Linked DNA regions of Macaca fascicularis. The protein of the gene in region 2 interacts with the protein of the main gene of each other region in a pairwise test. Links are inferred from orthologs where the notes say so. Each region holds a gene or a part of one and is shown on either strand. Other genes may lie near its edges. The genes, in order: RNF125, UBE2L6 and RNF144A.

Evidence for each region.
Region 1: the proteins of UBE2L6 (region 2) and RNF125 interact in a two-hybrid assay, tested with the Homo sapiens proteins (3 studies listed by BioGRID and IntAct). The link is inferred for Macaca fascicularis from reciprocal best matches to the Homo sapiens genes UBE2L6 and RNF125.
Region 3: the proteins of UBE2L6 (region 2) and RNF144A interact in a two-hybrid assay, tested with the Homo sapiens proteins (2 studies listed by BioGRID and IntAct). The link is inferred for Macaca fascicularis from reciprocal best matches to the Homo sapiens genes UBE2L6 and RNF144A.

What each region holds. Positions count from the first base shown.
Region 1 is NC_088392.1:57,852,042-57,855,703, reverse strand, and holds the start of RNF125 (E3 ubiquitin-protein ligase RNF125), read left to right. Parts: upstream 1-743; 5' UTR 744-782; coding exon 783-946; intron 947-3,662. UniProt on the Homo sapiens protein: E3 ubiquitin-protein ligase that mediates ubiquitination and subsequent proteasomal degradation of target proteins, such as RIGI, MAVS/IPS1, IFIH1/MDA5, JAK1 and p53/TP53.
Region 2 is NC_088388.1:16,061,069-16,064,716, reverse strand, and holds part of UBE2L6 (ubiquitin/ISG15-conjugating enzyme E2 L6), read right to left. Parts: intron 2,892-3,648; coding exon 2,705-2,891; intron 771-2,704; coding exon 619-770; 3' UTR 1-618. UniProt on the Homo sapiens protein: Catalyzes the covalent attachment of ubiquitin or ISG15 to other proteins. Functions in the E6/E6-AP-induced ubiquitination of p53/TP53. Promotes ubiquitination and subsequent proteasomal degradation of FLT3.
Region 3 is NC_088387.1:115,097,519-115,101,166, forward strand, and holds part of RNF144A (E3 ubiquitin-protein ligase RNF144A), read right to left. Parts: intron 404-3,648; coding exon 196-403; intron 1-195. UniProt on the Homo sapiens protein: E3 ubiquitin-protein ligase which accepts ubiquitin from E2 ubiquitin-conjugating enzymes UBE2L3 and UBE2L6 in the form of a thioester and then directly transfers the ubiquitin to targeted substrates.

The DNA.
Region 1 (3,662 bases), on a different chromosome or scaffold from region 2:
TCAAGCGATCCACCTGCCTCGGCCTACCCAAAGTGTTGGAATTACAGGCGTGAGCCACCGCGCCCGGCTGATCACATTTAAAGGGCGGGATGGGGAGAGTACAAACAACAGAGGAAATCCTGAGCCGCAGAGGAAACTGGAGACGGCAGGGTTTAGCACTAGAATATCTGTAAGAGAGGTAGGATTGGAATCTGAATCTCCAGAACTCTTTCCACTACCCAGGCTCTCTCTCCATTAATGGACTATTGATTGGACGACAGAGTAATGATAGCACCGTCTTAGGAGACGTCCAATCATAGGTCATAGTTCAATGCAGCTTATTGTGATTACAACAGTGGAGGATGGTCCTTACAAGCGGCTGTTCTCTGATTACCATTAAGCATGGCCACGCCCGCACTTAACTTCTGACAGTGGGGAAAGAGGCTGTGTGTGACAGCTTGGAAGGTTTACTACTGCCTCAAGTCCTCTTCTCTGCAGTTGAGGTTTCAGGTTTCAATCCTCCCAATACCACAAGACAAAGCACCTGGCGGCTGCCGCCTCCGCCTCCGCGCCTTAACCTAGGCGGTTTGCCGAAGATTTCAGCCCCGCGGCCGCGCACTCGCCCTGCCCTAGACCAGGGTTGGGCGCATCGGCGGAGGTTGCTTCTTGGCTGCGCGAGCTGCGCGCGCTGGGAGGCGGCGATCGCAGCTGGGCCGGGACTTCCTTCCTCCACCGCACGACAACAAAACAACCCTGCAGCAGGCACTGAGTGCTTGGCAGCTGTCTGGGCGAGAGGCACAGCGATGGGCTCCGTGCTGAGCAGCGACAGCGGCAAATCGGCTCCCCCCTCTGCCACCCCGCGGGCCCTGGAGCGCAGGGGGGACCCGGAGTTGCCCGTCACGTCCTTCGATTGCGCCGTGTGCCTTGAGGTGTTACACCAGCCTGTCCGGACCCGCTGTGGCCACGTGTAAGTGCCAGGGGAGCTCGGTTTGGGCCCACCCCTAAGGAGGGCGATGTCGGGAAGCTGAGGGCATGGTGTGGGGAAGGAGGGGGACGGAAGACAGCGCCTTAGGAAACTGCTGCAGAGAGAAACCTGGACCCGTCGGGTGCGGGGCCACGGGGAAAACGCCGGTCGGAAGGTGACACAGGATTTCGGGAGGAGAAAAAAGAAACAATCGGGCCCTGCAGCCCCCTTGCGCTGCCTCCTCCCGAAGTCCAGGTGCGGAGCTCCAGAGAAGGGGATCCAGGCACGGGTCCCGCCCAGAGCCAGGGCTCGCCAACAGGGGAGGGTGCTCTTGGCTGGAGAACGAGCGCTCGCCCGGGCACGAAAAAGAAACGAGCTCCAACTGCAAGGCAGGGGCTCCCTCAAAGCGCAGGTACCCCGCTGAACACGGTGGAACAGGCTGCGCTTCCCTCTGCCCCAGAAACTCGGGTCCGTTTTGTTTTGCTGGAGCTGTGCACGTGTTCCCAGAATGCCCACAGAGGCTCGTCTTAAGCAAACAAGGATCTGTGCAAAGTGTTTTTTCCACCCCCACCCCTGCTACCCTTTCCCAACACAGACACCCATCCCCTCAAAGAGCAAGTCAAACTGGAGCTTCCGAGTGACTTTCCACAAGTCGTTAGAGTTTAACAACCTGCTAGGGTGGGGCTTGGACGTTAGCCGCAAGCCCCTGAATGTACTCCTCCAAAACCCAGCCACAACGTGACAGGAGGTGACAGACTACCTGCTTTACACGCCGTCTCTCCAAACCGGCAGAAATTACAGAGTAAAATAACTTTCTCAAAACGGCATAGTACTTAGCTAAAACTCACAGTTGGTGCAAAGCCGTGGTCGTTTCTAAGAAGAGTTTAAAAACAAAGTTCCTATATAAAATTGGCACATGCTTAATGTGTGCTTGAGTAACTGGTGAAGTTGGATCTGTGAATTCGTGCTGTTTACTTTGTGTGTGTGTGTGTGTGTGTGTGTGTGTGTATGAGAGAGAGAGAGAGAGAGAGAGATAGTCTGACTCTGTCGCCCAGGCTGGAGTGCGGTGGCGGTGGCAGGATCTCGGCTTACTGCAACCTCCACCCACTGCAACCTCTGTCTCCCCGCCTCAAGTGATCCTCCTGCCTCAGCCTCCCGAGTTGCTGGGATTACAGGCGCCCACGACCACACCCTACTAGTTTTTGAATTTTGAGTAGAGATGGGGTTTCACCATGTTGGCCAGGCTGGTCTTGAACTCCTGACCTCAATTGATCCACCCACCTCGGCCTCCCAAAGTGTTGGGATTAAAGGTGTGAGACACTGCACCCAGCCTTCTCTCTTTGGTTTGAATTTTGTTCGTGGATGTGTGTGTGTGTGTGTGTCTGCACGGATCAGAAGCGGAAGCCTACTTAATGTCCTTTGAAGGGTGACTATAGTATGATGAAGCCCTGTGTGATACCACAGTGGCATGTACTTGTATTTGGCTTAGCAGGAAGAAAGAAATGCATTTGGCTTAGCAGGAAGAAAGAAATAGCATTATTGCTTCTGAGGATCACTTTTGAAAGGATTTAGGTAGTCCTTAAAAACATGTTGTGCACTTGCATTCAGAAGTTTTGAGGCCGGGCATGGTGGCTCACACCTGGAATCCTTAGGTGATCCTTAATACCTATAGCCTTGTATCTGAAAAGCAGTTTTCACCACTGCCCAACCTGTGAGCCAGGGAAAAAAGTGTGCAGCCTGCACAATGTATAAATAAAGAGTGCTTTGGGCATTATTTCGTAGCTGTATTTTCGAGGCCTGTTGTTTCAGCTTTGTTCTTAAAACTCGAGGCTTAAATTTACCCTCCTTTCTGATTACTAATGTTGCTCAGCTGTCCAGATGTAGCTCATTAACGTAATATCCACAGGCCAATCTGGAAGCCAAGATGGGCTGTGTGAGTCATAAAATATATTGATTATTTTAGGGCAATAACAGCCTAAAGATACCTCCATTGAAATTGAATCATTATTAGCCTTAAAACTTTGAAGTTGTGCAAAACATAAACAGTGGGCATTTTGAAGATTCTTTTTGGAATAGACCGCTTTGCTGCTAATTCAATTATCTGACTGGAGATTGTTTTCCTGTTTTGGACTTTGAATAGTATAACTTACCATTTACAATATTTTTCCTTCTACTAAAGGATAATGTAAGTTTGCAAAATGTTCAATTTTTTGTTTAATCTTTTTCTTTGTTAAAGTGAATAGGAAACTAGCAACTGGAAAAATAACCATAAAATAGCATTACAAGGGCTGAACAAATTGCCTTTCCTCTCTTTACTGTTCTTTGTTTTGACAAATCTATGTCCATTGTTCTAGCTGTGGGCAGAATTTCCATATTCCTCCTTTTGGCAAACTTACTTGGGCCCCTTCCACTTTATAAATGTTAACCAGAGTCTTTTCTGCTGTAGAGATTATGAGCGTTGTTAATGCCATTTGTACATTCTAAATGAATTACTCTTTTCCATTGAAATTAAGTTGGAAAATGAATAAATGCAAATGAACCTTCTGTATTTTATTATCCCATATTGAAGCTACAGTTTCAGACATATTGAACTAGGTGGTTTATGCTGATTTTCAAGTCAAACAAGTTTAATAGTAACAGCAGTACCTTGACTGAATATGTACAGAGCACTTTATAAGTTGTATTGTGATGCAGTAGTAACTGGCCCTTATAGAAAGCT
Region 2 (3,648 bases):
CTTCACAGTCTGAGGCCTGGTCCCAGGAACTGGCAATCTAACAGGATGGCAAGTGGTTTTGAAACATACAGATTTTCAGGATGGAAGTCTGATTTTTCAGATTGTGACTCATCCGTGGAAAATAAACGGTTTAGCACCTAAATCTGTAGATTCCCATCAGTGGCTTTGCTGACTCAGGTGTAAATAGGGTACCCTCCATATGTCTCCCACCCATACGCTCCACTGTCCCCAGGCCCTCAGTGCCTGAGCCCTAGGGGGATTCGAGTTGGCTGCTGGGCTCATTTCCTGCAAGCGGGCCGGCGAGATGACCTGTCTCTCTAAGATGGAGAGCTGGAGAACTGGCCTGTAACTCTGCAAACTTAAACTCCCTTGGCTCTGGGGGATGCAAAGGCTGTGGGAAGGGTGTACCTGTGGCCAGGTGAACCCGGGAGTGAGTCCACACACAACACACACACTCACAGCTCCCTTCCCTCTACCCCACACACACAAACGAATGACTAACAACCTAAGAAAGAAAAAATGAGTGGGGAATGGGCCATAGGGGGCTCTGGCCTCAGTCCATGAGGTGTGTCCATCCACCATGCCAAGGATCCAGTGCACAGAGGGTCAGAACATGAGTTAGGAGGGCCGGTCCACTCCATATTGGAGGGTGAACTCTTCAGCATTCTTTCTGAACAGCTCCGGATTCTCTGTCAGCAGGTCAGCGAGGTCCACCCGCAGGGGCTCCCTGATATTCGGTCTATTCACCAGCACATTCAGGGCCTCCAGGACTGGGGAGAGACAGGCCAGGACATCAGGGCAGAGGGAAGGGGGTCACGGCTGCCCACTCCCAATGCCTTGACACTCCACACCCACTCCTTGGAGGAAAGGTTCCATCTCTTAGGCTGACTCTATGACCGGATCAAACACCCCGCTCATTCTTGGTTGGTGACACCCAAGACCTTGACTGATGACATCAGTGGTTTTCAAACAACTACATTCCATGGCTTCAGAGAAGCTCTTCATCATGGGAGCCACTGAAATAAGTGAGGTTTCTGGGTCTTATCCCCATTTCAACAGAAACTACTCTGTTTTCCTCCATTATATTGATAGTCCAAATAAACTTTTCCTTGGGCAAAAGGGGTCTAAGGCTAAAGACTGAAAACCACCATGGCCCCCTGGCTCTTCATCTTTCACAGATGCCTTTGGGAACCTGGTGAAGGTAGCAGCCCATCTCCTGAGACAGACGCACACTCCACGTGCAAAACAGATAGTTCCCAGACCCCTTGAAGCTCATCCAAGGACCACTCCTCTCCCTGCTCCCACTCCCACCAAGCAAAGGACTTTTGTTTCCTGAGTTAAAAACTCCTGAGGTGGTCCAGGTAGAGGATTGCACACTGACTCAGTCACAGGCTCTACAGCTGCATTGTTCAATATGGTAACCATTAGCCACAGGCAGGCATCTAAATTTAAATGAATCAAAATCAGGCTGGGCACGGTGGCTCACACCTGTGATCCCAGCACTTTGGGAGGCCAAGATGGGTGGATGGCTTGAACTCATGAGTTTGAGACCAGCCTGGGCAACATAGCAAAACCTGGTCTCTACAAAACATACAAAAATGAGCCAGGTGTAGTGGCATGCTCCTGTAGTCCCAGTTACTCGGGAGGCTGAGGTGGGAGGATGGCTTGAGCCCAGGAGGTAGAGGTTGCAGTGAGCCAAGATCGCACCATTGAACTAACTGCCTGGGCAATAGAGACAGACCGTGTCTCAAAAGAAAAGAAAAAAAAAATTAAAATTAAGTACCATTAAGAATTGAGTTCCAGCCAGGCGCAGTGACTCACACCTGTAATCCCAGCACTCTGGGAGGCCAAGATAGGCGGATCGCCTGAGGTCAGGAGTTCGAGACCAGCCTGGCTAACATGACAAAATCCCTCTCTACTAAAAACACAAAATTAGCTGGATGTGGTGGCACACACCTGTAATTCCAGCTACTCGAGAAGCTGAGGCCAGAGAATCGCCTGAACCTGGGAGGCAGAGGTTGCAATGAGCCGAGATCGCACCACTGCACCCCGGCCTAGGCGACAGAGCGAGACTCCGTCTTAAAAAAGGAAAAGAACTGAGTTCCTCAGTTGCAACAGTCACATGTGGCTCGCGACTCAGCCAAGTGCTGCCGTTTGCCATCTGTATGACCTTAGGCAACCACTTCGCCTCTCACATGCCTCAAATGTCCGGGTCTATTCAACAAGGCTAACGACAACACTACCTCACGGGGTGGTGGAGGAAATGAAAATGAAGTCCGCATGTGATGTTCTCAGCACAGCGCTGAAAGTGCTCAGTCAAGTGACAGCTGTTCTCATTATGAGGCCAGTTCCCTCCACTGTCATTTAGGACACCGAGTCCCAGAAAGGAACGAAAACTTGCCCAAAGTCCACAGAGGGAACAGCGGGCTTTCTTATCCCGAGCCCTTCCCTGTACAGCCAGGCTGCCTCTCTCGTGAACCACAGCAATGTTCCTCTGTCACAACTGCCCAGGTACAGGAACAGAGGCAGGAGAGGTCAGTCTGTCCAGGAAGCATCCCTTCTATCTCACAGTAAGTTCAGCCAAGACTCACAATTTTCACCTCCTCTCTTCGGGGCTTTTCAAGCTCAGAATAAGTCTGTGAAACCCCCTTCCAGTAATCTCTACCCAGTATCAGTCCCTCCTCCGGGCAAAGCCCAGCCCCACCTTGGCAAGTCTTGGTGCAAGGCTTCCAGTTCTCACTGCTGATGATGGGCAGGCAAACATGTCCGCTCTCGTCCACGTTGGGGTGGTAGATCTTGGTTGTGAATTTGATCATGGGAGGCCTGAACGGATACTCAGGCGGGAAGCTGATGCACAGGTTGAAGGCTTTGAGGTGGTAGGGAGGTTGGTCCTGTGCAGAGAGAAAAGGGGTCAAGCTCCGGTCTGGTTTTCTTCCCTTCCTGCCCCCATCCCAGGGTCCTAGGCATCCTCTGCTTCACTCCCAGGGGGACACATGAGCCAGGATACGCACAGCACCTGCATTCATTTGACAACTGAGTCATGGATTAGTGAAAATGTGAAATCACCAAAGGGCACTGGCCTGGGAGGCAGAGAAGTCTGATCCAGGCTTTTGCTGTGTGACCACGGTTGAGCCACTTCCCACCTCTAGGCCTCAGTTTCCTCATTTGTAAAGTGGATAAAGATGGACTAGATGAGCTCTAAGGACCATCTCAGCTTTCATGGATTTCTGAGATTATGGAAGAAAAGGATGGAACATCCTTTCTTAGAACATTAGAATGGGGGTGAGGAAATGGAGAAAATGAGGAAATCCTAAGAACTCAGGAACTCAGGAAAATACAAAGGTGCAGCTGCAGTGGAAAACAGTATGGCCATTTCTCCAAAGATTAGACACTGAATTACCATATGATCCAGCAGTTCTACTTCTGGGTAGATACCCAAAGAACTGAAAACAAACAGGTATTTGTATACCAATGTTTCTAGCAGCCAAAAGGTGAAAGCAAACCAAGTGGATCAATCAACAAAACGTGGCATATACACACAATGGAGTATTATTTAGCCTTAAAAGGAAAGAAATTCTGATATATGCTACAATCTGGATGAACCTTGAAGACACTATGCTCAGGGAAATAAGCTAGACAAAAAAGGAC
Region 3 (3,648 bases), on a different chromosome or scaffold from region 2:
GTACACAGTTCTCAAAAATAAATAGACATACAAATAATGACAGGCTTGAGTGAGGCTCAAGAGGTACAGTGTGTGTTAGGGTTGACTGAGCCACAGCCACTTACACTGTAACGGCACTTTTAGGAAGAAACATGCCTGCCTGCTTCTCCTGGCCCACAGCCCACGCCTTTGTGGCAGAGTGTGTACAAAGGGTACCTGGTCTCCCCGGGAAGGAAGGTGATCGGCATGGTCTCCGGGCAGCCCTGGCCAGGGTGCCAGCTGGCTTTGCAGGTGGAACAGAATTCCATATGGCAGGCTTTGCACTGCACTGGCTGGGGGGTCTGCAGCCCCACGTCCTGGAGCTGACACACAGCCTGGCAGGTGGACGCTGGGCACCAAGTCCGACAGGGATCAAACAGCACCTCTGGTATAGGGAGACAAAATGGGCAAATCAAACTTAAGCCAGAGGGTCATGTGGGCTTCAGAGGAAGGAGCCCCTCAGTGCACGGACAGAGAGAAACACATCCAGGTAATACAGCCAGAACCACCAGCCCCAACCGAAGCACTGCCCAAGTCACCCTTCCACCTCCACCTCCCAACCTCTCCCTTCATGCAACAGACCTCCAGACACCCCAGGCATCCCTCAGGAATGCTGCTCCTGTCCCTGGAATGCCCTTGGAGCCCTGGGTCAGCCCTGCTTGCCTCTGGGACTCAGCTCACAGCTCAAAGGCCTCCACATTCTGGAAAGCTTGTCCCACCTGCCTGTCAGGTTTCTCTGAGCAACGCACATCGTGCTAGCTCATCTGCCTCCCGTAGGGGACAGCTTTCTGAAGCCGGGCCCCTGATGGCCCGTGTTGGGCACACACCCAGCACCAGGAAAACGCTGTTAGAAGACGGAAAGGAAGAGGGAAGAAGATGGCTGGATTATTCTTCTAACCAAATAGTTCACCTGCCTAAGATGGCCTCCCCTTCTCAAATCCAAGCCATGAGTTAACTACGGAGTGAAACCAACCCTTCAAGGGCCAGATTTTCTCTCCGAATCACAGCGCACATTTCTAAGAGCCCAATCTTATGGAATTGGCCAAGAAGCTTATTTCTAAAAACAGGACACCTTGACACATCTATTTCTTCACATCCTTGTCCAAAAATTACATTTCTTTAAATTACTGGCTGCCCTTTGTAAGGAGACTGGTTGTTCATTTAATCTTCCCTCTTGTCCGGCATGACGCCGAATTCTCGATGAGGGGCCACCCCGGGGAGAAGGCAGGCTCCGCCAGAAAGCTCTCCGAGGCCAGTGCAATGTGGGCTATTTCCAAAGGCGTTCTGGTGGGCCACTGGTTTCTAAGTTTTCAGCGGGGCTCTTCTTGGGAAGTCGTCGTCTGTCGGGACAACTGAGTTTCAGAGACGACTTGAAAGGCGATGACAAGTCCTTGCCAATGTCCGGGCCCTGTGACTGGCAGCCGGGCAGCTCCCGCTCACCTGCATCACACATGGGATTCCTCTCACTGGAATCCACAACAGGCTGGCACCACACGTGGACCAGGACTTCACCTACACGCATTGCCACGGGACCAGCAGCAAATGAATGACAAATCACCAGCTGGGTGTCCTGACGGTGCACACGCATATGTACGTGTAAGGCTCTGTGTGTTTACATGTTCCCCCAGTACACGGGGAAGCCAGATTCAGCGCTCTAGAAACCATCTTGTGTAGGGTCTAGCTTTAAACTAATCTAGTCATCTAATCCAGGGGCTGGCAAACTTCCTCTGTAGAGGGTCGGATAGTCATCATAGAAGTCGAGGACCAAGTTGTTTCTGGGTTTCTGCAGTAACTACTGGGTTTTTGCTGTTGCAGCACAAAAGCAGACACAGTGACCTGGAAATGAATGTTCTAGCAAAACTTGACAGCAGCAGGCCACTGGCCGGACTGGATCTGGCCCACTGGCCATGGCAGGCTGACCCTTGATCTCATCTGGCTGCCCCCTGCCTTTTTTTTAAAGCGTGAATTAATCAACAGCACAAAAACCGTCCGAATGTTAGGGGTGGTAGAAAATTAAGAAGAACTTGATAATAATGAGGAACACTGGAGGTCAGGAACAGGTGCTCTACTCTAATTATCTTCATTAGAATAATCTAAAATCCCCAGGGTGCTCCTCACATTGAGTGAATGGACACATTTAGCTCTTCTCTTACTTGTGGATAGTTTCTGCATTTGCTTTCCTAAGAATGCTCCTAGCTGTCAGTTCTGACAAGTGGCTTTTTGAGAAAATGTAGTTGTTGTCTGTGGGTCACCTGTGTGGGGGCAGATGCCTGGCGCTCCCCTGAGCTGAGGGTCCACAGCAAAGCAAGGAGGGGCTGCACGTGCCGGCCTGGGGCACCGAGCGCCACACTGAGCAGTGAGGAGGAAACGCCAAAGGCTAAAGGCAGCTGGCCTGGGTCACGCTCCCATCCCGTACCTGCGATGCCTCCAACACCTCGCTGCCTGCCGTCTGTGCATGCTGTGGGGTGAGCCCAGCGTTGTCCCTGATGAGATAGGAGGCCCGTGTCTGCCCAGCCCTGCAGGAGGATGCAAGTGCTCTGTGCACTGAACAATACACTGCGCGCGAAGAGAAATCCTCGCTCACTCTTTGCTCTCCTCCCATATAGCTCTGGGGCTAGACCCAGAAGGGCAGTGCTGCCTGCCAGGGACCCTTCCGTCCCACTGTTGTCCCTACCCCTCCTGTGCGGTGAGGAGCTTCTGACATCAGCAAGGAGCAGATGTCCCAAAGCTGGGTCTCGGTCTCTTCATGCACGTGATGGTCATGCACCGCCTCCTGCCCAGCCTACTGGCTCAAGAGTGGGAGATGCTATTATGCACCCCCATCACGAAAGGCCCCCCAGGACAGCATGCAGGGGAGACCTGGCTAAGGTTTCCATGGGAACGATTTAAATCTTATTAGTTTTGTCCTCACAGAGCTGTGACTTGGCACTGCCTGTCCTCATACGGACAGATTCCTCATCGAAAAGGTCAGGGACAAATGGCTGCTCAGACTGCTGACTGCAAACGTGCTTCCTGTGCTGCCACGGCACGTCACATCCTGTGAACACGGCCCCAGGCTCAGGTGTAGATGTCTATTAACATTCTGCATTATCCTCCCCATTATCCTCCCCAACACGTACTACATACGTGTGTAGTGTATGAGACATATTTTCAAACAGAGCAAATAATATATTTTTGGCACACTAGAGGAAACTAATGTTAATTCTTATCTCCCAGAGGTGTATTTATAGCAGATTAATGAAGCGGGTCTCTAAGAACTCCCTGCTTAAAAACGCCTAAGACTTTTTAAAAAGGTGACTTTCCTTTTAAAACAGTTTCCTTTCAGAAGCACATGACAGATGACAGTGCACCCAGCATCCCCTCTCATCCCTGCAGTTACTACCCTGCCCAGCCGGGCTGCTGCCTGGCGTGGGGCTGGAATGCTGGGTTTGATCCTACTGTGAGATGGTAACATTTTCAGGTGTTGGCTCTAGTCGGGCCTGATTACAGGTGGATAACCCGTTGTATTATTTAATCTCTCTGAGCTTTACTTTGTTTTAAAAAAACAAAACAAAACAATACATGGTGAGATTTGACGTCAGCATTCACTTGGCCAGGCACTGGGCTGGCAGTGGGACGTAGGCATGAGGA